Linked DNA regions of Pelodiscus sinensis. The protein of the gene in region 3 purifies or fractionates together with the protein of the main gene of each other region. This does not show direct contact. Links are inferred from orthologs where the notes say so. Each region holds a gene or a part of one and is shown on either strand. Other genes may lie near its edges.

What was found.
Region 1: the proteins of VAPB (region 3) and OSBPL10 purify together in Homo sapiens (affinity purification with mass spectrometry; 4 studies listed by BioGRID and IntAct, counting the BioPlex papers as one, with this or other methods). This does not show direct contact. The link is inferred for Pelodiscus sinensis from reciprocal best matches to the Homo sapiens genes VAPB and OSBPL10.
Region 2: the proteins of VAPB (region 3) and PRKACA purify together in Homo sapiens (affinity purification with mass spectrometry; 4 studies listed by BioGRID and IntAct, with this or other methods). This does not show direct contact. The link is inferred for Pelodiscus sinensis from reciprocal best matches to the Homo sapiens genes VAPB and PRKACA.
Region 4: the proteins of VAPB (region 3) and ARHGEF12 purify together in Homo sapiens (affinity purification with mass spectrometry; 3 studies listed by BioGRID and IntAct, counting the BioPlex papers as one, with this or other methods). This does not show direct contact. The link is inferred for Pelodiscus sinensis from reciprocal best matches to the Homo sapiens genes VAPB and ARHGEF12.

The regions. Positions count from the first base shown.
Region 1 is NC_134712.1:183,971,893-183,978,803, reverse strand, and holds the start of OSBPL10 (oxysterol-binding protein-related protein 10), read right to left. Parts: upstream 3,004-6,911; 5' UTR 2,739-3,003; coding exon 2,428-2,738; intron 1-2,427. UniProt on the Homo sapiens protein: Probable lipid transporter involved in lipid countertransport between the endoplasmic reticulum and the plasma membrane.
Region 2 is NC_134729.1:10,100,208-10,107,125, forward strand, and holds the start of PRKACA (cAMP-dependent protein kinase catalytic subunit alpha), read right to left. Parts: upstream 3,013-6,918; 5' UTR 1,410-3,012; coding exon 1,220-1,409; intron 1-1,219.
Region 3 is NC_134728.1:13,200,649-13,208,275, forward strand, and holds the start of VAPB (vesicle-associated membrane protein-associated protein B/C), read right to left. Parts: upstream 3,019-7,627; 5' UTR 2,826-3,018; coding exon 2,768-2,825; intron 1-2,767. UniProt on the Homo sapiens protein: Endoplasmic reticulum (ER)-anchored protein that mediates the formation of contact sites between the ER and endosomes via interaction with FFAT motif-containing proteins such as STARD3 or WDR44.
Region 4 is NC_134736.1:4,763,585-4,771,349, forward strand, and holds the start of ARHGEF12 (rho guanine nucleotide exchange factor 12), read right to left. Parts: upstream 3,008-7,765; 5' UTR 1,539-3,007; coding exon 1,438-1,538; intron 1-1,437. UniProt on the Homo sapiens protein: May play a role in the regulation of RhoA GTPase by guanine nucleotide-binding alpha-12 (GNA12) and alpha-13 (GNA13). Acts as guanine nucleotide exchange factor (GEF) for RhoA GTPase and may act as GTPase-activating protein (GAP) for GNA12 and GNA13.

The DNA.
Region 1 (6,911 bases), on a different chromosome or scaffold from region 3:
GTCAACTAACCGATAAGAACTCATGAGGTTAATCGATTATTCAATTAATCGATATTAGGGCTGTCAAGCTATTTAAAAAATGTAATCACGATTAATCACGCAATTAATCGCGTGCACTTCCCCTTTGAAATGCCATGGCAGCATTTCAACGGGGCAATGCTGCATAAAGCGCTGCCCCTTGGAAGCACCGTGGCAGCATTTCCATGGGGCAGCGCATTAGATGCTTGGAATCTGTGGACTCCAGCTGATCCCCGGCTCCATACTGCAAAGCCCCTTTGAAATGCAGCTCTGGTGCTTCAAAGGGGCTTTGCAACAGCAGAGCCGGGGATCAGCTGGGGACTCCAGCTGATCCCCGGCTCTGCTTGGGCTGCCCCTTTGAAGCGCCGGAACAGCACTTCAAAAGGGCAGCGCAGCATTAACACCTGCAATTAACGCCTTAAAAAAATTAATGCATTCATCCTGTCCTGCATTAATCGCAGGTGTTAATACAGGTCAATTGACAGCCCTAATTGACATTTAACATCCCTGCTATTAATCTTTCATTTGTTTGTTTAATAATCTCTCATAGGAAAAGAAAAAAATTGTAGATCCACAGAGAAAAAGTTAAAAAAAATCTGGGAGATGGCTGTTATGGAAAAAATTAACACACCAATAATGCACCCAGCAGAGGACAAACAGTTACTTAGATATTTTATTACCTTCTATTCAATACTCAAAGTACATTTACCCACACAAAAAACCTCAGTGTACCTGTCTGATTTTTTTTAATATTAATATTTGGTAAACATGCCTATCTGTTAAATATGTGTAATCAGAGATTTCACACAATTTAATAAAATCACAAGAAACAACATGATGCTCAGTCTGAAGTATGGTGATATCCTGTTAAACAGAGATCTGATCACTATATTTCCATGTCTCTCTTTAAACAGAAGATCTCTGTTGTAATGATTATTCCTGTGTTTCTGATATTTACATGGCAAGAATTTGTAAACCTATTAATACTTTCTAAACAAATCAATAGTAAAAAGGGAACCAATGCACACACTGCAGCCTGGAGATGAGGAGTGTTATAACTAAGTCTACAATGGCAGTTTGGAAGAGGAACAGAGGGAAAGAGTTTCCTGTCATTTGCACCTCTGATTCAGCTCCATAAGTGACAGCATCTTTGGGAGCTCTGGACATGATAATGCTACCATAGACATTAGCATTTTTTACTATCTCATTTAACTCTGTTTACAGCACATCTAATTGACACAGTTTTAAAACTGTGAAACATTTAACTGCACTATTTCTTCCACTTCTGTTACCACTAGCTAGGCATCTCGAGGTCAGCAATAATAGAAAATTGTTGCCTGATACAAAGGTCCTGAACAGAAGTTTACCCTGTTCTATAGGTAGAAATCCTCACTATCCACAGCTGCCAATCTAAAATCTTTCATAAGCACAGAAATCTAGCAATTTAAAACAAGAGGAAGAGAATGAAGTTTGATAACCAAAAGTGAAATAATAATAATAATAGAAGATCTCCTCTTCCTAGTTCCATAACTACAGACCCCGTACAGCACTATTAATTCCACAAACCCATTGTAACAATATAGGCCCTGATTTTGTTCTATGTTGAGTACCAGCAGATTCCCAGTGCCTGCATAGCAATCTGTCCATACCCACTGAAATGCAAGATTAGGACCTTCATCTCGGTGTCCATAACTAAAAGTCAAATCAGGTCATAATGAACTTAAAACTTTTATTTTTTCCTATGAATTGTCCCATTGCCCCCTTCAGTAAAATGACCTCCCCAGAAAATAATACTTTTCTATTTACTACTTAATGCTAGTTTCTTCACTGGGGCAGGATATTTTATTCTGTATTTTTTTTTAAGTTTTGCAGAACAAGGAAGTCAAAAGTAATATGGTGGCGAAATAGATAGTAAGATGTTGTATAGTAATAAGAAGATTGGGAACAGGGAGGATGAATCAAACATGTCAAGCACTCTATTCACAAAAAAGTTGTTCCTTCCATCCCTCTAACTTCCCGAGCAACCCTAAACAACATGTATCATAAACATGTTTACATTATATCTTCAAAGACCAGGCTCCCTATCAAACCCCTCTTGCAAAACTGCTACCATGAAGATGTACCAGCCCAGGGGCACGATCCATAAAATGGATAGAGTAATGAAAATAATGAGGCCCCATTGAAAGCGAGAGGCGTTTGCCCCACAATAAGTGGCTGGGCTGCTGCACACACAGCCCACGACCGGCCTAACTGGCCTGGGGACCCCGAGCAGCTGCGCAGAGCAGCATCTCGTGGGGACCAGCGCGTGGGAGCGCCGGCTACCCGGGGAATGAGGCTGGCAGCCAGCGAAGGGGGCACGTGCCCCGCAGAGCGCTGGGGCGGCCAGGGCGCGCGCGGGGCCGGGCTTACCTGCTCTGCCAGCCCTGCAGGAGGTTGGTGTATTTGCTGAGCGCTCCCTCCAGCGTCTGCTCCCTCCTGCAGCCGCTGCCCAGCGCCGGCCCCGTTCCGCCTCCTCCCGGGCTCACGGCTGCCGAGCCCGGGCTGCTGCTGCTCCCGCCGCCTTCCAGCCGCCCCGCCGCCGGCCGGCCCGGCAGCCCGCGGCCCGCGGAGCAGGGAGACGAGCCCGCCGACGTGGGCCGGCTGCTGCTCCGGCTGCTGCTGTTGCTGTTGCTGCCGCCTCCATCCGCACCGCTGCTGCCGCCCTGCGCCGCCTTCTCCATGGAGCCCGCGGGGCAGGGTCCGAGCCCGCCCGGCCGCGCTGCTGCTGCTGCGAGTCCCCGGGAAATGCCTGACTCACGCGCGAGGGCCGGGCCGGGCCAGTGGGGAGAGCCGCCGAGCCCGCCCCCGCCGCCAGTTACCACCAGAGCCAGCTGGGGCGGCGGCCGCAGACCCGCCCCCAGCCCCGAGAGGTGCGGGAAGCTCCCCCGCTCCCCGCCCTGCCTGGCGCCCGCTTGGGAGGCTGCTGGCCCGGCCTGTGGGGAGAGCCCGCGCCAGGCCTGGGAGAGCACAACTCGGGGTGTAACACACAACACGCGCACACAGTGTTACAGCCGGGGAGGAGGAGTGCTCAGCATGGTGTACAATTCAGTACACCCCAACACACACACAACGCTAACAGCCACACACACAACATGAAATGGTTAACCAGCTAACTGGTAAGCATCACCTTTAATTGCTGATGCTTACCTGTTCTGGTTAACTGGTTGGGGCTGGAACAGCTGCCCACTCGCCCTGGGCAGGGGGCTGCTCCAGCCCTGCCGGGCTCCCCACCAATAGGTCTCGGGCCTCTCTGCCCTCCCCCTAACATTACATTTAACTGGTTAACCAATTAATGGGGATTTTACATCCCTACCTGGCACAGTTTGTAATACACAGTAACACACACACCGCCACAGTCAGAAAGGACAGCACAACATAGTGTGCAATACACAACGTCTGTATACCATGCAGAAAAGCCAGGAGGAGTGCATAATATGCAGTGTTTCACACAACACTGCCCACCATAGTACACTCAGAACATGACAGTCAGTGAGGAGTGCACACCACTCAGAATATCTGCCACAAGGCAACATGTAACACATGGAGAAGAGTACACCACGCACATATACATAAGGGCTACGTCTAGACTGGCATGATTTTCCGGAAATGCTTTTAACGGAAAAGTTTTCCGTTAAAAACATTTTCGGAACAGAGCGCCTAGATTGGCATGGACGCTTTTCCGCAAAAGCACTTTTTGCAGAAAAGCGTCCGTGCCAATCTAGATGCGCTTTTCCGCAAAAAAAGCCCCGATCGCCATTTTCGTGATCGGGGCTTTTTTGCGGAAAACAAATCTCAGCTGTCTACACTGGCCCTTTTGCGCAAAAGTTTTGCGCAAAAGGGACTTTTGCCCGAACGGGAGCAGCATAGTATTTCCACAAGAACACTGACAATCTTACATGAGATCGTCAGTGCTTTTGCGGAAATTCAAGCGACCAGTGTAGACAGCTGGCAAGTTTTTTCGGAAAAGCGGCTGATTTTTTGGAAAAACTGGCCAGTCTAGACACAGCCAAGTAGTATTACCATCTCCAAACATTCAAGAAATCGTGAGTCAAATATTGTCACTCCTCCGAAATTCATGAGATTGGCTTTAACTCAATGGGATGTTTTCAATTATAACTTTGGCTTTTGTTTCTGAGGTTATAGGGTGCACTTAGATCATGTTGTCAACCTTTTCTATACAACAACCATGAGCACATTTTTATTTAAAAAGAAATGACAGTTGAGATTCTCTTTTTGTTTTATATTAGTACAGCACCGAGCACCCTGGGGTTTTGCTCCACCACTGGACTCCTAGGTGTTACAACTATACAAATAACAAGCAGTCTCTTCATGTCAAGAGCAGGGACCTGAAAAGGGCGAGGAGAGGGGGGACAAATAACGAGAGATGATCGAATCACCAGAGCTACCAGGCTATCCACAACACACACACTGTACACAGCAATCAATGTGTAACAGATAGTGTTCCGCATCAGCACAAGTGCATAGTACAGGGTACACTGTCCTGAGTGCATAGTACATGAAAACAAGTGATAATCCTGCCGTGGGAGTGGCCTTGTATTTCAGGTACAGGAGTTCTGAGTACAATGCCTGCTTGTGTCACAGAATCCCTATGTGATGTTGGGCAAAGTACTTAATCTTCCTATGCCTTAGTTTCCCATCTGTAAATGGGGTCAGTAATCTTTCCCTATCTCTTAGGTGTTGTGAAAGAGAAAATATGTTCATTAATAAAAATGAGCCACTCAGAAGCTACAGCAAAGGTGAAGCTAGACAGATCGTGTGAAAAAACAACAGAATGCAATCATGCATCAACATGGAATATACAATGTTGTGCACTCCTCTCTGGCTGTCATATTTTGTGTCTGAGTGTACAGTGGTGGGTAATGCTGTGTGAAACACTGCATCAACCATACATCAGCATGTAAAGTCTGGGCCAGTTCTGAGAGGCTGTATAACATGTGGCTGCAGGAGGCCCCCATAGGTAGACATGGTGCTAGAGTTCTGTGCTGGCTTATTCAAACTCCTCTTGGATGCATCATGTGAGAAGCGAGTGGGTAAAGTGAGCATGGGCTGTGCCTTAAGTTATGGACCTGAAGACTGCTTACCTCCTGGGCCAGGCCCTGTGTAGATTAAGTCTCTTTTGGTGTTGAGGAAAACTCCCTACCACTGAATGAGACATGACAGAGCAACCGGTGGTGGAGAAAGAAGATATTTTATTTTAAATTTGAGTTGGGCAGGTAGAGAGGATAACTAGGCTTCCTTTGTTGGCTACCAGTTGCCTCACCTCCTGCCCCTATTGAGGTCATCCTCCTGTCCATTTATGATGTTCCTTGTTGGCATCATCCAAGCCCCTGCGCCCTTGGCCATCCTGCTTTCAGCAAAGGGCTTTATTTAGGGCAGGTCTACACTCTGTGGACAAGTTGATCTAAGCTATGCAGTTTAAGTTACATTAGTAGTAACTCAAGTAGACATAGCTTACATCTACTTACTATTGATGGGAGAAACTCTCCTATTGACTCCCCTTACTCGCCTCATTCCCGTAGAGTGCCAGAGTAAATGGGAGCGTGACCAGCAGTCGATTTAGCAATCCACCCAGTCTTGGAAACAAGCCCATAGCAATATAGGTCTGAAAAGGACTCAAGACATCATGTAGTCCAGCCCTCTGTGCTGAGCAGAACCATGAGTCCCCTTCTGGCAACTTCATATTGCCTCTCACAAGGTCTTCCTCCAAAGCTACCTCCTTCTCTTAACCCAACTTGAATCTTCTATCTACAAGATCCTTTCAGAAGTTTACTGCTAATTTATTGTCATGTCCTCTCTTAATCATCCCCACCAGTCAGTCAGCCCAACCCTCAACCTCAGTTATCTTAGACTAATTAAGCTGTACCGGTCAACAGCTTGTACCCCAGTCAACTTATCCTAATTAATAGAAGTTATATGTACTTTTATAAAATAAATGAAACAATATCCAATTTCAGTTAGAAGTACAAATAATTATGCAGAGCAACCCAATTGAGGGGGGCACAGATGTATTTATATCGCTTAAGTATTTATCTGTGCACAAGTCCTCCGTGAAGTAGAAAAGTACTATTAGCTTTGCTTTCCAGATTGGAAACTGGAGCACGGGGAGATTAAATGACTTGCCCAACTCACACAGCAAGTCTGTGGCAGAGCAGAGAATTCAACCCAAGTGTCCAAAGCCAGAGCCCAACCATTGAACTATCCTTCCTTTCTGCTTGAAATAACCAAGAACAGAATAGCTAATACACTACCCTCATGTGTGCACATGCGCACACCACACGTTAATATAAATGTTCACACACAGTGGATAAATTATCACAGCACATGATATAACAGTATATAGAGTCACCCAGTCAGGGCACAGATTTACATGCAAACAGTGGAAAACAAGTGGTGATGGTGTAAAATCACCCCTCTCTATGGTTAATTTTTTTACTGGCAAGGACAGTGTGAATATTTATGTTAACTGATACATTGTGTTATTTTATTCTACTACATTCTCATTTTGCTTTAAACAAACACATTCTCTGTGTTAACCTTGCACTTTAAGTATTACTCTTCACACTGTATGAGTACTCCTGCGAACTCTGTGCTCATCTATGCACTACATTTCATGTATTTAACACAGAGAACATACAAAGTTAAAAAAACACATAGAATATGTTTTAGCATAATAGTACGCAGTGAGTTAATTACAATAGAGCAGTGGTCCCCAACGTAGTGCCCGTGGGCGCCATGGCACCCGCCGGGCCATTTATGTGTGCCCGCGGAGCAATCTGGGCTGGCCCCGCCCCCGGGCATGTGGCAGGTGCCAGCCCCGGGAGCATGGCCGGCCC
Region 2 (6,918 bases), on a different chromosome or scaffold from region 3:
GGATCTGCAGGCCACGCTGGGAAGGCCCAGGCAGCAGAGGGTTAAAGGTGCCAGAGGCTATTTTAATCCTGGCTGCCCTGCCAAGGCACTATTGTTACAACCTTGTTTGCACATCCAGGGAGCCTGCCGGTGGGAGAGATGGCTCATCCCTGTATCCTCCCTCCCCTCCCTCACCCTCCCTCCCTGCAGGGGAATCCCTCCCACCCACCCACAGCTGGGGCCAGGCTGGAAAGGCCTCCTCATCTGTCCTGAGGGGAGGGAGGAATGAAAGCAGGGTTGGGGGAATGAGGAGGAGGAAGTGGAGGGGGATGAAAAGGACAGACACAGGATGTCAGAGAGGAAGTGACACATGAGGGCATAGGTCTGTCCCAGGGAAGTGGCCAGGACTCTCCCGAGGAAGGGAGCCAGTGAGTCCTTGTGCCCCCTTCCTCACATGCAGCGACCAAGTACCTGGCAGCCGACCCGCAGCACCACCGGTATAGGAGGAGGAAAGGGAGAGGTGCCACACACCAGGGACTGGCATTCGAGGAAGAGAAGGAGGCAGAGACTTCAAACCCCTCCCAGAGCCGGGGACAGAACTCAGGAGCCATGATGCCCAGGCCTCTGCTCTAACCATTAGGCCAGCATGGAAGACTGGGAACCAGGACTCCTGAATTCTACGGCCAGCGCTGCCCCCATCTGGCGCAAGCAGAGGCAAGTCACTTCCCCCGCTGTGTGAGGCGGTTCTGCCCCATCACCAAACACACCTCATCTCCCACTTTGCAGGGAGAGCCTGGTGCGGGGGGAGAGATTCGCTGCTGCTTGCAGAACAGCTAGAGCCAGCGGATCAGAGCACAGCGCCACCCACCTGGGTTCTGGCGCCCGGGGCGGATGCCGGGCACGGAGAAAAGTTCACGCCACGTGGCGGGTTCAGCCCTTCCCACAATCAGAACTTGGGTGTCCCAGGCCCATGACCTGTCCCAGGCCTCCATGGCTCAGGAGTGGCGGGAAGAGGAGGCCCCGGGAGCGGAGAGCTCCTAAGGCCTCACGTGCTTGCCGCTGCCCTGCAGGGATCCTTCCCAGGAGGAGCTGGGGAGGCCAGACTCTGGCCTGCGCACTCCGCCCCCCAAATCCCACACATTTTGATGGTGTCTGCATCCCCTGCCCCCGCCAGATAGCTCGACTCACAGGGCCCTGTGCCGCGGCTGGTCCTACCCCTGCGGATTCCATCTCAACTCACTCTGCTCACTCCAGGCGAGCGTGTGCGGAGACACAGGGGCCGCCTCGCTGCCGGCCGGGGCCCCCGCCTCGCTGCGCGGCCCCCAGTAGAAAATCCGCCCAGCCAGACTCTCCAGTTTCTGAAGCGCTGACATCTTAGCCCCTTTGTTCCTGCTGGGGTTGGGGCAGGTCATTTCTCCTCCGTGGCTCATGTTTCCCTTAATTTATTTATCTCCCTCTCTCCTCAGCTCTCACAGCCAGAGTTGATGTGAAGTTGGGCCCCAATCCAGGAATCCTCCGGCCTCGGCCATTTCCCAGCAGCAGAGACGAGAGCAGGGTCAGGGAGCGGAGAAGCAGCCCCAAGCCCCAGCAAAACTCGTCCACTCCCAACAGAGATGGGGGCTTGAGCCGACTGCTCTTGACTTCTACCCGGGGGAGAGACTCTCCATCCAAAAGCTCCCCTGCCCTGCAGCAGCCTCAGAGCCTGGCTGTCAACGCAGAGGCGGGCAGGCCACTTCCATACGACTCCTCCCTGCACTTGCTCCAGGTGGCGAGGACCCAGGGACTCGAAATGGCTTCACCTTGGTCCCGAGCGTGGGCTTCCCTGGCAGAGGGCACAGGATAGGGGAGTCTGGTCACTTACGCAGCCAGCCAAGTCAGTTTCACTTCCTGGAGAGCAAGGGGAAGACGGGTTCTGCTCCAGAACTGAATGGACGGGTTTGCCAGAACAATGGCCGGTGGCAAGGGGCAAATCCACCCAGAGAGGCTTAAAGCAGACCCGTGGGTCTCTGCTCCTCTCAGATCCTTGGGCCGAAAGCAGCGCGCGAGGCTCCCTCTTGCTTCACTGCCGATCCTGTGTGTGCGGGGGAGCGGATCCTTGCCAAACACACTGTCCTACGGGTACAGTGCCCCGGGCTGCAAAGGAAACAGGGCTGGGCTTGCAGCTCACATGAGGCCTGAGTCAGAGGCACGCAGGTCCTGAAATCAGCTGCTGGAGCCCCCGTGTATAGCGCCGAAGAGCAGGGGGTCGCAGCGCGTCCAAGGCAGCTCTCCAAGCAGCGCTCAAACAGACCCACATTCAGAACCCCCGGCCCTTGCAGGCACCCTGCGGCTGCACCCCAGCGAGGAGATCTTGCTGCACCACGGGGTTTGACTCATGGCGTGCAGTCCCAGGCGGTACCGACCGCCGCCAGGGGAGGGACTCAGGACTAGTTGCTTGAAGGTTTCTTTACTTTGCCTTTCCCAAACAAGCCCTGCACTCCTTGACCTTGGGAGCGGGAAGCCACTTCCAGCGGAAGCCAGAAGCCGGATAGAGCTCCGGGGGAAAAGCAAGCGGGTGGGATGGGGAAGGAGGAGGCCCTTTCTTGTGAGTCTCAATTTCCAGGGGGCTGCAGAGACCGGAGGCAGGGGGCAATCTGGAAAGGAAGCTGCTCACCCTGGGCACAAGGGGCGAGGGGGCTACTGCGTCAGCCCCCCAAAGGTGCGGAGGAGGTAATAGACCAGCCGGCCAAACAAGTGCACCCAGAGGAAGAGCTGGATCCAGAACTGGAAGTCGAAATCTGAGCCCTCCTCGATTCCACGGAGGTCGCCAGGTCTGAGCTCCATGCTGCCGCCCCGATGACGCAGACCTCGGCTCCTGGCAGCCGGGATCCTGCCGGAGGCTGCCCTGCTTCTCTACGCCACAGCGGGCTCCCCCATGGCTGCCCAGCTTCCAAGCAGGCCTCCAGGACCCTTTGCAGAGCAGGAACGGGCTCTCCCGGGGAGAAGAACCGGGAGCAGGGTAGGGAGCAGCCTGCTTCACTCCTGTCGCTTCCTAGGCTCAGGGATCAGCCTGCCCCAGTGAGGCGCGCGCTAGGTATTGTTTCAGAAAGCGCCCCAAGGGAGCAGCCTCAAAGGGGGAGGGAGATCCAGGGCTGGGCACGCCGCCAGGTTCACACGAGGCCCTTAAAGGCATCAGCTCCCTGCTCCACATCTGCTCTCAGCTGCTCTCTCAGCAACCAGCTCTCCTCAGGGAACTGGCCCCCGGGCTCCAGTGGCAGGACAGGAGGTTGGGATCCCAGGGAACCTGGCCTGGCAGCCCGGAGCATCCCACTCTCAGGGGGAGTGGGTGGGAAGGAGGGAGGGGAATCTACAGCATCTCTAGAGCATCAGCTCAAACCCAGTCCAATGTGAAGTTAACTTGGCAGGTCTCAGTCCAGTCCCCAGAGGGAGGGCCCTCCCGCCGAGGGATGTAAAATCCTGTTTCAATTATTTAATGGGTTAAACGGTTCATTGATTAAACCGTTTTAATCAGTTCATTGATTAAACCAGGGTGAGCAGGAGGCGCTCCAACCCAGCTGGACTGGAGTACCCTCCCCTTGCGGGTGGGCTGCAGTACCCCTTCCCCCATGGGAAGGGGCTGTTCCAGCGGGGCTGGAGCAACCCCCACTTGCAGTAGGCCCCGTGGGGCTGGAGCAGATCTCTGCCCATGGCAAGTGGGGGGCTGCTCCAGCCCCCACCAGTTAACTGTAACCAGCAAACATCACCCGCTAAGGTTAACCAATTAGTAAACCATTCACATCCCTACTTCCTACCACAGAATCATCCTAGACAGGACTCCTGGGCTCCTCACCATTAGACCGTGCTGCCTCCCAAGCCAAGAACAGAACCCAGGAGTCCCGACTCCCAGAGGCCCTGTTCTCAGCACATCCCAGCCCAGTCCCCCCTCACTGAGTAAGAGGAAGGGCAAAGTTAGCTGCTATAGGCCCCTTTGGACAGAGGGGCTGGTGAAAGGCGGGACCTTCTGGGCTCCCATTCAAGCTCCCCCTTCAGGCCTTACACTCCCGGGACTGTGGCGGGGGAAACGGGGGCAGGAGGAGACTCACACACAGTTCCCACATGGCTTTGGTAGGGGGAGGCCTCTCCCTCCGGGAACTGGACTGACACCTGCCAAACCCATTTCATGTTGCAGCTGGTCTGAGCAGGGCCACAGTCGGAGGGCTGAGAATCCGAGCCCTGTGGCTCACGTGGCCTCCGGCCTCCACCGATAGCCAGCCAGGGGGCCAGCCAAGTCCAGCGCTACTGCCGCGTGCACCAGGATCTGCTTCCTGAGCCGCGCCTGGCTCAACAGGAGCCCTGGCACTGACCAGCCACCAAGAGCGGCTCAGCTGAACAGCTGGGTTGAAAGGTCTCTGCCTGCTGCCGTGCGCTCAGCACCCTGGCGGTGGATCTTGAGACAGCCCCTCCCATCCAGGCCCTGCGCTGGAGCCCCCCAGTCACCATCAGGCCTACAAGAGGCAGCCAAGAGGTTCGAGACACTCCGTGGGAGGGACTGGAGCAGGCTCTCTTTGCCCTTCCTCCGGATCTGAAAGGGATCCCATTAGGTTACGTAACCGGGGCCACGCGAGCTGTTTGGGTCAGAACCGCGTCTCAGTGCAGCGGGGGAAGGGGTGTCACTGACATGTGGCTGAGTCGGCATTTCCGAGGGGCTGCCAGCCCACATGCCAGTCAGACAGGCGGGCGAGAGCGGTGCCCAAAGGGTTAGCCTTGCGCAGGTGCAGCTTTGGCAGGACCAGGGGAATTTTCTGCCATCTCAGGCAGCGAGTCCCGCAGGGTCAGCAGGGAAGGTTTAAAATATTCCAGCGTGCTCGGTAAAAATCAGCTCCCTCCAGCCAGCAATGAGCAGCAGCAGCAGGGACACACGGACCCAGCAGATGGCATTTTGCCCTACTCAGCAATCGGAGCATCATGGCCCAGCCACAGATGGTGACCCCCATGGCGACCAGCCGCATGGTGCAGCACCAGTAAGAGCCTGGGTTGGTACTGGGAGAGCCAGAGGCTGGGCTGTCTGGCAGCCTGAAGCTTATCAGTCATTCATTTCAGCAGAGGAATCCCTGCTCCGTCCCAGAAGTGGGTGCATCGGGGAAGCGTCTGAGTGGCTCTCGCCTGAACACAAGGAGGCACAACTGGGGGGACAGCACAATTAACAGGTTCACACTGGCCTAGCAGGCAAGCTGCCCTGCATGGAGCCAGGCTCTTTGCAGGAAACTCCACTCTAAGTTACAGCAGGTCTGTCATGCACAAGCAGAAGATCAACAGTGAGTAATTAACCATTGGAACAACTGACCAAGGGCTGAGGCAGATTCTCTAGCACAGGCAGCCTTCAACTCAAACATGGCTACTTTTGTGCTCTAATTCAATCAGGAATTAATTCAGGCCAGTCCTACAGTTGTGCCATGCTGGAGGTCACCCTGTATTGGTGGTTCTCAACCTTTCTCATTTGTGGACCCCTAAAAATGTCGAAGGGAGGTGCAGATCCCTTGGAGAGACAGGGTCTGCAGAGCCCCAGGGGTCCACAGACCACACCCTGACATGAGCCCAGTGGTCTCTGGCTTTGGGAGTTAGGCAAGATGGCCTGTGGTAAAGGCAGATTTGGATTCAATGCTGAGTTTGGACCTTGACTTCATGCAACCTTGGATCAGTCATTTCAGCTCAGCTGCCTGTCTGTAACATGGGGGTACGAATCCTTCCCCTGACTATTTAGATTCAAAACGCTTTAGGGCAGAAGCGGACTTGTTTTAGGTGTGTGCGCAGCATCCAGCACAATGCAGGTCTTTGACCTCAGTTTAGGTCATTATGGGCATTACAGCAGCACATAATACAAACCCATTTAATTCCTCACCCGGTAAGGAATAACCAGAAGGAATAAGGGAAACCCGCCGTGAGGCTCAGATAATAAAAATGGTGCTGATGAAAAGAGGACTGCACTCATTTTCAGTCCCAAAATGATATACACGTATATTTTAAACCAAAAGGATTCCTTAAAAACCTAGTGCGGAGAGCAATTTCGCATGAATTTAAAAGAAAATTCAGTAGAAAACCAGGTAGCTTGAGGATTTAGAGAGACATTATCAGCTTAAAAAGAGGACAATAAAAATTGCTTCTTATGTTACCAGCACCTGGGCTTATTAACTGTAAAGCTTATTTTCAACATAAAGTCCACTGCACTTAATCCCTTTTCAGGTATCTCAGCATGAACAAATGCAGGGAGGAAGGGGGAAGACCCAATACAGCTGGTCAATTTCACTCAGATTCTAGTGAGTTTCACTTCTGGTACTGAAGTAACTGCAGGTTGCCAGTGTCCAAAGTAGGATCAACAGACGCAGATACCTCAGCAATTGCTAGTAACATGGTGCCAAGTCCTTGTTTCCAGCTGCTAAACTTCATCAACCCATTAAATTCTAGCATGATCGGAAATAACGGCTGCAGTGCTAGTCACCCCTGATCAAAGAGGAATAGTGCAAAATGAGAACGTTCAGAGTAGGGCAATAAGAACAATCTAGACCTGGGACAAACTCTCCTATGAGGACAGACGGAGAGGACTATTTCCCTTACCAAGGAACCCAATAAGAGGGCCACCATTTAATCTGGAAAATAATAGCTGGGATGAAGAAGAGAGATGAGGAGCTTCTCTCCTTCCTGTCTCATTCCACAAGAAGCAGGGGACACTCAAATAGAATTAAAAGGTGGGGAATTCAAAACCAGTAAGAGGAAACACTTTACCATTAGCCCACGGAACTCACCACCACAAAGTTGAGGGCAAGACTAGACTGGCCATTCACAGGGAGAAAGACAATTCAAGGCTATAATTTAAATGACAGCAATAATTCCGAAATGGATATTGAAGCTTGTGCGTCAGGGCTTAAGTGGATCTCTAATGCTAGTGAGCAGGACGAGACCTCT
Region 3 (7,627 bases):
CTCCTCCTTGCCTCTCTAGCGAAGATGCCAGCTTGGTTCTTCTGTTGATGCTGGCCAGTAGTGGCATGTGCTTGGCTTTAGAAGGTTCATATTCTATTACAGAAAGTGAGGGGAAAAGAATAGCGAGTCCTCTCCCTCCCCCCGAAAAGATCAGATTTTAGCAACACCTGAATAGCATGCCTAGGATAAATAAAAAGGCCCAGTGCCCCAGCTAAATTTCAGAGATCTAATGCAAACAATAGAAGTACAAGAGCTTTTTCAAAAACAAAGAAATCTTTATAATGTATACTTTTAGACAACCCAAAAATGAGAAGCTGGCAGTAACTCCTCTCTAGTCTATGCCAAGGAAGACTTTCTCTCAATACCATATTACAGTTCAGCATTCCTCCACCTCTGGTGGTTTATTCTTCAAAGTGATAATCATCTTTATAGCCTTTGTAAGTAACAGAATGGTATAATAATTTTAGAGCTGGAGATTTGACTATGTTTTCAACTCTAAATTGACTGCATTTCAGTGTGGGGGTCTTTATTCATGTTATGAAACTTAGAACCCAATACAGCTTCTCCAATATCAGCATGTCTACAAAGTTCTCCGAGATCTTTCAGTGAAAAACACCTTGACAGCACACAACAAGAAAAAGGAAGGGAGTGGAGTGTCTTTGATTATTGAAATCTCTCAGCAATTCTTATATACTAATACCGTGCAAGATATCCCTTCTAAAGTTGAAGTATCTAACTGAAAAAAGTGAAAAGAGCACATTATACTTCCTGATTACTTCAAATATGATTTTTGTGAACAAATCTTTCATTTGCATTTTCTCTAGAGAAACTGGCCTACTCTATGAGCCTCATTTAGAACAGACACTTTGAAAGGTTTTTTCTTTCTTTCTCCTCCTCTTCTCCCCACTTTTTCTGTTTTATATTTCAAAATCTGTGCCCCGTTTCATAATATTTGTCATCTGAAGAGGTGAGTTGGGCCCACAAAAGTGCATGATACTATTTATATATTTTTGTTAGTCTCTAAGGCACTACAGTACCATTGTTGGGTTTTGTTTTTTTGGGGGCTAAAATCAATTACTAATAATTTAATCTTTGCATACCAAAGACCTTATGATAAATCTTGGTTTATTTTAGATGTTAAGCACACATTTAATAACTAACCCACTTAACTAAAGACTGTCACTTGAGATTTGCATGACACTTTCCCCTGTCATAATATGGCTTAAAAAAAAAATCTATTGAGTAGCTGAAAATTTTGCTGACAATTTAACCCTGAATCTTGGAGTATGATCAACAACTAATCATCTCTCCATCTCAGTAGAGTTTCTGTCATTGCTCCATCCCAATAGTTTGCATCTAAATTTTAATGCATTACTTTTGCCCCAGCAATATGCAGTTAATTTCCAACAAAATAATTGCATATTCATTCCACACCATATTTACTGCTATGTTTTTGTTCTTTTTAGTAACTATTTACCATATTATTTCTGAAATTTATTGATGATCAAAAATATATATAGGGATGTTATCTTAGCCACATGTTTATAGCTAAGCTGCAGCTATCAGTAAAGATGAAATTAATATTTTAACATCAAATGATCTCTACTTTGAAGTTTAGAAGAGCATTTGCTAAATATCAGTGTTACATTTTTGTAAGAGGAGATATTTTTACTTTTATTATTATTATATGCAAACTTATTGATGTTGATATGTAATCTCAGATTGTGTTACAACAGTCTAGTCCATCAAGTTGTAACATAATAAATTAAGAGCAAATTAACCTGTTCAGGATCTTATTTTAAAGGAGAACTCTCCTGTAAACAGATTATTAGAATAGCGTTTGTCTTAGAAGTTTAAGAAATAATGAAAAGAAAAACAAACAAAAGTATTGTCAGAAACAAGGTCAGAAGTCTCAGTTCTTTAAAACACAAACGGAAACCTATTCCACATGTTCCAGGATATGCAATTCAGACAGCTTTCAGATGGCTCTAAAACGGCTCCAGGAAATAGGAGCCACAAAGCCCATCCACACATGCCAGGTGGTAGCAACCATCTCTGCTGAAAATATTTTTCTTTTTCTTTGACTACATCTCTAAAAAAAGAAATCACAGCAGCTGGAGCTAGTAATTAAACCCACAATCAGATTATTTTACCAGTAGGAGCATGTCAGGGTACAGATCACATAAGAGACGCCATATATATATATATATATACACACACACACACTCACACACACACACACACACAGGATTACACCCATCATGAGACAAACTCAAGGCAGAAAGCAACCCTATACAGAAGACGACAGAAGGGCTGTTTCTCATCCTGCACTAATGATAACACCGAGGCGACGTGGAAGGTCAGATTATATCCATGTAGCGCTGCCTTCGCTCGCAGTGGGCGGGGGATGAGGAGAAATCTGAAGCGGGAGGGTTCTGCCTACACCACAACACACGGCTGGTGTGTGACACGCGCGCACACGGCTCACCAGGACAAGCAGCATTTCACACCCTGACTCCCCTCCCCCCCTCGGGGTCTCTCGTACTGGAGGGGCTCCAGGCGAGGCCGCAGCAGAGCGCCGGGGGCGGGCAGGCCTAGGGACGCGAGCCTCAGCGGGCACCGCCCGGCCCCCGAAGGAGCGTGGGGGGCCGGCACGGCCTACGAAGGGCCCTTGAGCCGCTGGAGCCGAGCGCCAGCCCCCGGAAAATGGCTGCCGCTGGAGCCCAGCCCTGGGCAGCGGCCGCCGAGCCCCGCGGCCGCCCCTCACCTTTGAATTTGAGCTCGTGCTGCGGTTCCAGGCTCAAGACCTGCTCCACTTTCGCCATGTTCCTCGGCGGCGGCGGCACTGGGAAGGGGGGGCGGCGGGGACGCGCCCGGCGCTTTAATAACCCCCGAGCCGCGGGCAACCGGCGGGCGGGAGGGGAGCGGCAGCGGCGGCGCCTCTAGGCGGGGCGGGGGCGTCAGGCGGCGGCTGCGCGGCGAGGAGGCTCCCGGCTGGCACAAGCTCCCCGCGCAGGGACCAGGGGGCGGGGAAGGAGGCGGGATGATGCAGCACGGAAGGGCCCAGAGAGAGGCTGCGGCTGACGTCTCTCCCCAGCCGGGCGGCGAGAACGGCGCGGCGCGGCCGCAGGACTAAAGGGCGCAGGGCGGGGCCAAGGTGCAGCGGGCAAGAGAGAAGGGGGAGCGCGCGGGGCGGGGGGACCACGGCAGGGCCAGAGTACGCTGCATGGGCGGGGTCAGGGTACACTTCATGGGGGAGGGAAGAGGAGGACCCATGGCAGGGCCAGGGCACACTGAAGGGGGGGGGCACAAGGCAAGGCCAAGGCACACTGCATGTGAGGGAAGAGGGGAGCACAAGGCAGGGCTAGGGCAGTTCCAGAGTGTGCACATGGGGAGGGGAAAGGCAGGAAAACGCAGAGCCAAAGGCACCAGGCTGGGAGCAACATGGTGTGAAGTCAACAGGTGATTTTTGGTAGGTCCATGGCTGGGCTAGCGTGAGTGCGGAGCCCAAGAGCTGGATTCTGCCACCAGGCCCAGCCTTCCCCCTGTAGCTCTCCCTTCAATCTTTAAATTGATGGATTACGTGGAAAGTGCTACTTAGTGGCAGTAAGAGTGCCAAATTTTGGTCCTTAGTGGCTGGTCTTGGCTGGTTGTAGGGTTGGAATGGCATAGACCATAGGACTAGTGCGTGCTGGGCTGAGTGCCAAGTTAGGGAGCAGCTTGTGCCAGATGGCTACAGATAGGGTTGCCAGATGTCCGGTTTTGATGACAGTCCGGTATTTGAGCTTTCTGTTCGGGGAAACAAATTGACAAAATATAAATGAGAAAATATAAATGTCCAGTACAGTAATTCCTCATTTAACACGTGCCCGCTTAACGGTTTTGCGATAGCACAATTTTTTGGGGGGAATGTTTTTTGAATTACACGACAGTCCCCGGAATAACACGATTTCCCCAGCTGGCCCATTGCCGGCGACTGCTAGGGCTTCCCCCGCGTCCTTGCAAAGCGGCGGAGGGTTTGCTGCTTGCCGTACTATTCCCAAACGACCCCCTCTTGCTGGACACAGTGCAGGTCCTGGCAGACCCGTCACAGGGGCATACTCCCAACCCAATCCCTCCTCCCTTCTCCTGCCCTTCTCTTCCCCAGAGCCAAACACCTCCCCTCCCTGCTGTAGCCCAGTCCCCTTTCTCCCCCAACCTTATGTCCCGGTTCCAACAGACACCACTGCTTGAAACGCAAACCCCACCTTTTCCATTATTTTCAGTGGGAAAATTGACCCCATATAACACGTTTTCACTTAACATCATTTTCTGAAACATATCTATAGTGTTAAATGAGGAATTACTGTATTTTCTAAATAAGATGTAATGTAGATTGTTATGTAATGTCAAGTGTGTCCAGTATTTTTGTTGAAACCATCTGGCAACCCTAAGTACAGAGCTTGAGACTATAGATATGGTGCAACAGAAGAGATTCATAGTTTAAGGTGATACTTAGGTAGGTGCTTAATTTGACAGTTTGGGAACAGTATAGTATAGGTTGGACATGCATCCTGAGATTATTAGAGAGCGGGGTGTATTCACTCTGGGTGAAACAAGTGCTGGACTAGACATCTCTCCCGTTCTCCCCCTCTTGCCTTTGCAGTGTTCCCTGCAGGATACAGTACGTAGGAACTGAAAAGAGCTAGAATCTGGCCAGGGATAATGTGAAATTTTTTAGTATATCGTATAGGTTGGGTTCAATGCCTAGGTAAAGCATACAGCAAGCTAAGTGCACAGTCTTTGAACAGCACATTCAGAATTTGAGTGCAGCCTGGTGCAGAGAATTCTGGTTAGATATAAGAACTAGTTTTCCACAAGGCCAAGATTATTTATTCTGAATTCTAGTGTTCAGTCTACACTACCACTTTACTGTGCTGCAAATTTCTTGCTCAGGTTTGAAAAATACCTCGCTTGCTGAGCGCAGCAAGTTACTGTGCAGTTAGCTATTTGTAGAGTTATTTCCCTTGGTTAAAATGGCCATTGGAGCTTTCTTGCGCAAGAGAGCGTCTACTCTGGCACGGATGCTCTTGCACAAAAGCATATATATTGTGCAAAGGCACATGCCAGTGTAGACGCTCTCTTGCGCAAATACTTTTAATGCAAGAACTCTTGCGTTAAAGAGTATTTGTGCAAGATCATGCCAATGTAGACGTAGCCTTGGTGTTGGCAATACAGTACATGATAGTGTCTTCCTCCTGTGTCCAGGAGCCAGGCAGAGAACAAGATCCTACAAAGCTTCACTCCACTAACATCCGTTCCCTCGCATGGGGACCCCTTTCACAGGGTAACTGAAAGTGAAACTCACACCTCCAGCCCCCCACTGGCTGCAGAAGTGCATCAGCTCAGGCGACTCCCTGGCCAATGTGGTTTGTATCACAGCAGAGGCAGCCAGCATGGCTTCTGGGACTGAGGGGTGCCCGGTGCAGCTGGGACTAAGTGGGAACTGGGGGCCTGAGCAATGCTGGGAGCCATGTGTGCAGATGAGTGTCCACACCTCATCCCCGTCCCCAGGACTGGCAGCCATGCAGATCTGATTAAATGACCTTTTCAAAATATTTTGCAGGTGAGATTGGGTAAATACTCATGCTGCAGATGGTCTGCAGTCCAGGAGTTTGAGACTCTTGCTGTAACAGGTGTGACATATACAGAATATATCGGGGTCAGCAACCTTTCTGAAGTGGCGTGCCAAGATTTAACCCTCCTGCCCCCAGGGAGGAGAGGCTCTCTCCTCTGCACACCCTCTGGACCACCTTAGTCAAACTTTTCCACAGACTACCACTTGCTAATGGAAACGCATGTTAATTACATAATTATACCTGTGCCATTTTGCTAGTACTGCACCTGGGGAGAATGCTTTAATTTAAATTATTAAACCAATTGTTGTAACTTTTTCATGTTAGTTTATCTAATTTAATTTTAAATCAGTAAAATATTATGTCCAACACAAAAGGTTTCAATGTTTTTGTTATTTATGGCAAGGTGGGGAACCTTTTTTGAGTTGAGGGGCCACTGACCCACAAAAAAATCACTTGGGGACCACACAAGTGAGAAGCAAAAGAACTCCTCCTAAAACCCCCAATGCTCACTGATGTGGCCCCCAACTGAGGCAACCCACTCCTGTGGCGCTCCTGCCCTATGGAGTGAAGGGAAGGGACAAGGAGGACTGAGGTTTCCCATAGGCCAGATTTACTTTTCTGGGGTTTCACAGATAGTGGATTTGTGGACCTCCTTAGGCTCTGAAGTGGGAACAAAAATGAGGGGTTCAGTGTGCAGGACAGGGCTGCCAGCGAGTGGGATAGGGTTGTAGGATTTGGGCGGAAGGTGGGGTGCAGGATGGGGTGAGAAGGGCAGGGTCTGGAAGGGAGTTTGGTGGAGGAGAGGGTCGGGGGTGGGAGAACAAGAGGAAGCTTGGGAAGTAACCCAGAAAAGGTGAGTGGGTGAGAATGCAGCCAAATAGTTAGTTGGGGAGGGAGGCAAACAAGTGGGGAGTAAAGGAAAGTGCAGCTTCTGCAAAGTAAAATTGTAACCTCCCTTACATCTTCCCCCTGCTCCAGCCTCACTCCCCTCAGCTCCATGCCCCAGTGCAATCCCTGCTCCCTCCCATCCTGCCCCACATCCCTGTACCCCCAGTGAACTCACCAACAGGGCAGCAGCGCTGGGGCGGGGGGGTGCAGAGCATAGTGTCTTACCTGCCTGGTCCAGTCATTTGCCTGCAGGCTGCAGCTCGGGCTGGGACAAGGAGAGCCCAGGCTGCCCAGGGCTGGCTCTAGTGTGGATGGGTGCAGCCGGGGCACTGGGGAACAGGCTCCCGGCCCCTGCACACAGCCTGCAGGGAGTAGAGCAGCACACCCCAGACCCCAGTGCGCCACATGTGTCTGGCTGCCTAGCCGAACAGGCCCAGCCCCACCAGGGCCGGATTAAGGTGGGGGGTGGAGGCTAGCCGGGTAGCTCCCCGGGGCGCCAACCTATGGGGGGTGCCTGATGGCAGCTGTAAGGGGTGCCACGTGCCCGGCCGTGCAGTGCCCTTTAGAGCTGCCATCAGGTGCCTGGGGGCCGCGTGGCACCTGATGGCAGCTCTAAGGGACACCATGCGGCCCCCAGCCCCAGGTGCGCAGCGCCTGATGGCAGCTGTAAGGGGTGTAGTGCGCCGAGGGGTGGGACCGCGCATGCGCCGTGCGCCTGGGGGCGGAGCCATGCATGCATCATGTGCCCGCTGCCTGGGGCACAAGAATGGCTCAAGCTGGCCCTAAACCCACCCTCTCCCAAAGCAGGAAGCAGAACTGTGGCACAGGGTGGGGGGTAAACCCCTTTGCTCCCGGGAGCTGCACGCCCAGGCCAGGCAGGGGCAGCCCCAGGGATGCGCGTTCGCCTCTCCCACCTCCCTACCCCAGCAGAAAGCTGAAGCAACAGTACAAGCTCCCCACTGCGTGAGGGGTGGGGGGAAGAGTGGGGCTTAGCTCCTGCCCCATGTGCCAGTGAAAATGGGCTTGTGTGATGCTTGTGGCATGTGTGCTGGGGGCTGACGATCCCTTTAATATATGATGTTACCCCTGTACAATTCTCTGTCATTTTCACTCTCTAAGAG
Region 4 (7,765 bases), on a different chromosome or scaffold from region 3:
CACATGTCTACATGCCTTTGTCCTTCCTACCTCAAAGCACTGCAACGAGCTATCCTCCAAAGACGGCTTCATACCGTAAAGACACACAAAAGCTGTCAGCGTTGCAGCTGTCATCCAACACACTTGTTCCACCACCTTTCAGTCACTTCCTTTATGCTACTTGTACAGTTACGCACATTTTAAGCGCAGAGTGAAATGTGGGGCTAATGTGTCCTCTGTGCCATCCCCTCACACGGCCCCCAAGATATCCCTTTAAGAAAGTTGCACTCATAATCCACACTATGGAGAAAGCAACTTTTAGGCTATAAGGCTCTGCAGATCAGCCACTTTCAACATGCTTTTCAGGAAGAGCAACCAATGCTTTGCTTAACAAATTAGCAATAATCTATGCATTTGAAAATCATTGTAGTACATAGTATTAGTCAATCAGGCTGAAGAAATTCAAGATAGAGGCCTCCTCCTAACAGAAACCTGAGCAAATTTACAGTAGACAATTTATAGAGCGAGTTAAGTAGAAGCATAATGTTTAAAGCTTACTACTTGACACTTTCCTGGCCTTTCAAAGGATCTCAAACAATTTCTAAAAAGTAAGTTTCTAGCTCCACTTCACAGATTGGGAAACTGAAGTACAGAGAAGGGAAGCGACATGCCCAACATCACAGTTCAAGTCAGAGGCTGAAGTGGGAACAGAACCAAATTCTCCGTCAAATTCTCTAATCACTCCTCTCACAGTTTTAAATTAGTTTGGTTACTGTAGCGGGTGGCTCTCGTCGCCACGTCGCCTTTTAGGTCACTGCCCTCTGGCAGTGACAACCATAGCCTCTAAGCTTTCCCCTTCCGGGGGACTGATGGGTTTGTGATAGGCCGGTAGGCCCTCAGGAGGCGGCTCCTCAGCCCCCAGGCGCAGCGGGAGATGCGCCTGCCTCCCTGCATTACTGCGCCTTAAATTAATAGGCGAGTCTCTCCCGGCCTTCCTTCAGGTCCGGGCCACAGTCAGTCTAGTATTGCACAGGTCAGGGCCTGGCACCCAGTCTAGTCCGGCCCCTTTGAGGGGTTCTGCCCGACGCACGGTCGGTCTCAGCCGCACCGTAGGTAAACCCGTGCCCTTGAGCAGGGCGGGCCCCCAAACATAGTCTATTAGGCCAGGCCCTCAAGTTGGGCGGCCCAGCTAACCCCACACCCGTCGGAGCCCCTCGTTGCGGAGCAGGCCCGGGAGGGCGTCGGCAGCCGCGGTGAGGGGGGAGACTGTCACCCGGTTCAGGGTGGCAGGGGGGGCGCAGGCCCACCCACCTCATTGCACCCCGGCCCAGGGGCCCTGAATGCAGCCGGGCGGCTGCGCCTGGCTCAGCAGGGCTCCGGCCCATAACTTGCTGGCCGCGGGCGGCTCCCCGCCCGGCTACCCCCTGGGCCACTTCTCGTCTCTCCCTTCCCTGGTACCTGTAGCTCCGGCAGGCCCGTCGTGGAGTCGAGGTCGGTGTTGTCCCAGCAGGGTCCAGGCGGCCCAATCCAGGGGTCAAGGGGTCGGAGCTCTGTAGCATCCCGCGGGCTCGTCCGGCCCCGGCGTTCCAGTACCCATTGGGGGTCCAGCCGGTCTAGTGGTTCGGGACAGTCCTCTGGGTCCTCGGGTTGCTCTGCTGGCTGGCGTGGCAAGGCCTCAGTAGTCCCGGCAGGGAAGCCTTGGCGGGCCTCCAGGGAGGCGGCTGAGGACGGCCTAGCCCAGGTCTTAGCCTCCCCAGACAGGAGCTCTGGACCGGCCTCCGGCTCCCTCGGAGGCTGGGCCCTGACTGAGCTCCCAGGCAGCCTTCTTATAGTCCTAGTCCCGCCCTTTGACTTCTGGTCAGGTGAGGGGGCGGGGCTAGGCTGGGCCCAAAATGGCTCCCAGAGGGGTTCCTCCGCCTCCGGCTCAGTGGGTGGCCATTCCACCCCACTACAGTTACCTTAGCAAGGACTCCTCAGAGAAGACAAGTGCTATACCTCTGAATATAGAAAATACTCTCAGAATGTTCAGACTGAGGGAGGAAAACCAAGAAGAATGTCTCAGCGGAATGGTAAAGATGGGTAGAGGATTACAAGCAAAGATTTAGAAGTCTCCAGGTTCCAGATGGGTCACACGGGAGAGATATCCTCAAGACAGTATTTAGGGTCCTAGTGTAGAACCCAGAGTACGTAGGTGTTTCAATGAGGACTCCGATTCAAGATTCATTACATGCAATGAAAGAGCATCTCTACAACACCAAACGGCCAAAAGGACAATGAGAGACGAGCAATCAGATGCAGGATCAGCACTACACAGCTGAAATAACTTCTCACAAGGGAACTAAATAAGAACCCCAAAAGTGAGAAAAGTTGCAAGGTGAGTGGGGAGGGTGAGAAGAAACTACATCATTGAGTTGTGAACTCACAAAAGGACCCTATTTATCATTCACCTGAGTGATTCACCAGACAAATCCACTAGCTCTACTCAGTAAAACCCACCTTCTGAGCTCCACTGAGAGGAGCACATAGCTATTAGGATTAGATTTGCAAGACAGTCTAGAGAACCAGTCATTAAAAGATGGAGCTACATCTGTCTCTTTCTTATGCATGCCTGTGTTAACACTGAACATAACCTGCAGTGCTAAGACATTTCTTTTCATGTAGTAGAAACCTTGAAGTTGTACCCATGCTGTGGCTGAAACTGTCAAAGCTATAAATGCGCTTAAAACTTACTACTAATAGATATTATTTTAAGCAGAGAATTTGAGTATCTGAGGGAAATTGGTGAAGTGCCCAAGAATACTAGCCTACCACATCTAAGATTACAAATCACACAGCAGGCTGCTTTAGGGCAGCTCCTTGGGGATTTCTTAAGGACCACGATAACATCTTCAAGTTTTGGTACAAAAATGGAAGTTGATTACTCAGTGAAAAGAAAGGAGCTGAAACACTGTATGAAGACAGTGACAAACCAACAGAAAACACAATGCCCATAGAACAGGGGTGTCCAAACTTTTTTCAAAGAGGGCCAGATTTGATGAAGTGAACATGCGCGAGGGCCGACCATTTTGCCTGACATTCTTTGAACCATTAACATTAAATGCAAATTAACTATTTTATGCAAAGTTTATTGCAAACGGCACACTTTTCATTTCGTCACATGGATGACAAATCTAAACAGGTGTTAAATCACTCTGCCTTTCATATCTGAAGGCCAGATGAAAAAAAAATCCAGGAAGCTGAAGTATATGTCAGGAACATTGTAAAGTACATTACATATTATTGGTAATAAAGGTTGTCTGTCAACTTTTAAGTTCAAAAAATATGAACAGGAACATAACACCAAGTATACATGTTGTGTCCAAATATATTTATAACTGATTTAGACCAACTGACATTAACTGAGATTTTACAATGTATTCATCTCAATACATATGGATTCGTTGGGGGCCATAAAAGATAGATATTGCCAAATTACCTGGGGGGCCGTATTAAACCGGAACACGGGCCGCAATTGGCCCGCGGGCCGGACTTTGGACATGCCTGCCATAGAAGCACACAGCAAAAACTATTTGCCTCCTGCACCACAGCTGACTTGATCACTTGCCTGGGATGGCTTCTGATGCAAGACAGCGGTATATGCAGAGCTCCTCTTAAAAAGGGGGTCATATTTCCTTTCTTGATATTTTCCCTTAATCAATTTCAAAGAGGTATTCCATATTTTAAAGTGCATGTTATACAAATTTATGTATAATATTGTAGAACGTATAAAATTTCTGTTTACCCTGTTCTCCAATCCCTTTCATCAAGAGCAAGTTATCAAACAGCAGCCAAAATCCTGTCTCAAATAAAGAGGGGATAGGAAGGCAGACAATGGCATGGTTTTCAGGTCCAGTACCTCAGTATAGCACCCGCCAGCATCAGAAGCTCTCCAGCAAATAAATAAAAATGCTTTCAAAGCAAATAAACTTGGACAAGCACTCGTTATGGGCCAATTATCAGAAAGAAACAATGTCTGATTTTTTTCCTCATAAGATTTTTACAACAACATTTTCTCAATCTATTATGAAATCCCTCCTTTCCCAATCTCCCCAACAGATCAATACAGGAGAACTTTAGAGGCACCAGAATTTTGACTCCATAAACAGGAATATTTCCACTAATGTCATCATTACAATCTTCCTGTTAGATCACTAGTGCATCGCTTCACACTCCCAACTTCAGAATGCACAGACTACACCCCAAGACATCAATACCTGTATTTGTGCTCCCAGCTACTAAAAATAGAATTCCATCCCCAAGGACACGAGTGGCCGTATTCACCATCTTGTTCCCAGGATGGGACAAGAACAACACACCAGTGTTGACATTTCAAGTTCCCAGTCCTTGTAGACAGTCTAGGATCATGATCCAGATGCATTAGAAGAACTAATATGATTATTCCATCACTCCTGAGGCTGCAGTGATTACAACAGTTTTCTACACTTAAGGTTCCCCCTTTGCCCCAAGCTAATAGTCAATAGTCTTTTCTGCCACAGCAGTGGCAAAGAGTTAACATGCCTAGCACACAAATAATGCTACAGCAAGCAAGGAGGGGGATAGGCAGCAAGGTTGCGGGGCAGAGGAGAGGAGAGGAATGAGGTGTTGAGGCTTGTCTGCATGGGGAAATTTACTAGCATATTTTACTGTGCTACCTCTAATTATACTGTTTTAACTCCCTCTGTAGACACGCTTATTCCAGAATAAGAGTGTGCACACAGGGAGTTATGCCAGTATAATTATCCTGGCTAATTTCCCTGTGAAGACAAGCCCTTAGTTTAATAGTTCCTGATGGCTGATTCATCTGTATTTTTAAACTTTGCTCACTAGCTGAGAAATGCATTCCCTCCTCCCCTTTGCAAGTTATTTCCTATTTTAAGCTTGGAAGGAGGAACAGTCCTCAAATCCTCAACAACTGAACAAAGTTTAAATCAATAACTGAAATAATCTGTCAACTAATATTGGATAATTACATGTATGATGTGAACTATAGGAGTTCCCCCCCACCCCATATACTCCAAACACAAACTCAGCTAACCTGCTGAAAAGCACTCAAGGACTCTGGCTGCTCCTATCCCGCAGGTCAAACACACCTGTACATTTGCTAGAAGTCACAACTCTTCAGACACTCTATGGCGGCATTATCCAAATGCCAGCAAATAAACCTCTCTCAGATTCCCACACTGCCCTGAGTGCCAAAGGTACACATTACACAACCAAGGGAAGCTACCCACAATCAAACCTCTTCAAAGGATGAAGAATGTTGTGTGCCACTGTAATGTGCAAACAGCTAAACACATTCTTCATAGACTAGGTTACTGAAACAATACAGATTTCCACATATACAGGAACTCAAACAGTTCAAGAGCCAGACCAATCAGTCACTAAAGTATTGACAAGGAAGAAAGGAAATATTTATTTTAATTAATTTATGAATAGCCTGCAATAGGGCAATTTCCCTGCTGTATTTCCTGTTCAGACTTCTGAAATAGAATAATGTAATCAGACTAACTGCAAAATGGAAGTTGGAGTCACTTGGTTATAAGTAAAAGTGCTTTAATCTAAAGCAAGCATCTCCCTACCTAATGGAAGAGAAGGGAGGGGGAAGGGCAGCCCTAGAAGATGAAATGTATTTGCCAGTGGGAGTTTGTTCCTGCTCATTATCATTTGTCTGAGCTGAGCTAACTGTCACGGACAAACAGATCCTGGGGCCCTGGTGGAGTCCTCATCACTGGAAGAGATCAGCCCACAGATTTAGGTTATTGCTGTCTCATATTCATACAGCTACTGAGATTCTACACACTCCACTGGAGAAAGAACAGAGACCAGGGGAGAAACCTCTGAATGACAACATACCTCCAAACCAGTTATTAAGGAATTGAAGAAAAAAAAAAAAAAAAGATCTACGTAACACACTGCTAGGCCCCAAGTATTTGAGCAAGTCCTTCATATCTATAGACCACTGGAGACTGACCAAATGGTTTCTGCTCTTCATTCCGAAGTCCTGCGCCACTCAATTTGGGGACAGGGACTTCCAAAGAAAAGGCCCGTGAATATATGACGCTTTGTCTGGAGATTCTCTCTGTTGGGACTCTTCAGCGCTCATTGCAAGACTTCACTGTACTTCTGTGACTACACTTACTTCCTGTTTGTTCCTTTACTATTATTTCCCTCCTTGCCCACGTGACAGACTGCTGTATCTGGGCTGACCTCCATCTTGATTTAAAGTTTAAAAAAAAAAAAAAACATAAAAAAACCACACAGTGCAGTGTGTTCCAGAAGAGAGCTTTTCAAAAAGTTAAAAATACAGCCCAACTTGGTGGGAAAGTTTTCCAGTGACACCCACCAGAGAGTGTGTGGCTGGAGTTAAGTCAATGGGGTGATCCTCAGCAAATTCTCTACAGCTGATCCAGAAACTCACAATGTTTAATCTCTCAGGAAGCACAGGGCAGAACTGAAGGAGTGGTTTCCTCCTAATACAAACAGCAATAGGTGGAGCAGGATTTTAAAAGTGCTTCACAAGCACCCGGACTTTTTCATCAGTGGAGTAAATAAGCAGCCTTGACAAAAGAGCCTCCCGGCAGCTATGGAGCAATAAATGACAAAAATGGCTGAATTCCAGACAACATCACTCAAAATTGGAAACTGCCTGCAACACAGACCTGTTGCATAGTTATTTTCCACCCATCCAGAATCTGTTTCAACAATGACCTAACAGTACTGCAACACAACTGAGAGAAACAGAGAGCCTCCTCCAGAAAGACTTTTCCCAACTGTCAAAACAAACACTGATCTGAGCACACTGACGGTTCACCATTCCCTTGGCACCTGCCAGCCGGCATTACGACAACCCACAATTGCAAAAGGAGTTGTAGCCAATTGCAACCTGCATTTCAGACTCCCACGGAGGGAGTTTAGTGCTTAAAACAGACGGATGGACGGGGAGTCAAGACTCCTGGCATCTATTCCAAATCCTGTCAGTTTCTATCTAACAAACTTGATGGGCTGGTGTAAAAGGCCCTAGATAAAAAACAAAATATTGTTATACCTTCACTGAGCCCAAAACTTGGTAAAATCTATTGGAAAAAAAACAACCCAGCTGTAAAGGTATGTCATAACATACATGGCTGCAACACCACCAGTGAATGGCCAAAGCAAGTTAGGGATGTTAAATATTGGTTAAATGAATAGTCGATTAACAATGAATTCTTATCAGTTACTCGACTATTCTATAGTCCCAGGGGGAGGGACCGGCAGCCAGTGCACTCCAGCCCCAGTCCTGAAGCGCCCCCTGCCACTCTGCGCTGCTGCCTCTATATCTGGGGTGCCAGGCAGGAGCTGGTCCGTGAGGGGAGCCAGTTTAAAAAACAGCTCCCCTTGCAGACTGGCTGCCCATGCTGTCCTGACAGAGGCAGAAGTGCAGGGTGGCAGCAACCCCTGTCCAGGGAATGGGAGGGCTGAGCTCCCAGATGTGTCGTGAGCCAGAACTGAACCGGGCTGCCTGCCCGCCTGGCTCCTAATGCACTTCAAATGCGGAGCCAAGGTAGGGGTAGGTCCTGGACCCGGCGCGAGCCAGATTGCTGGACAGCCTGCTAAAAAGTTTACTGGAGGGGGGGGGGGGGGAACATGTGCAGTCTATAGCACTGACCAATAAACTTTTGCTTATCAGTTAATCAACTACACTATTACATCCCTAAAGCAAATCACACGGATTTTTAAATTCAGCCTTCCATATTTTGAAGGAGACTGA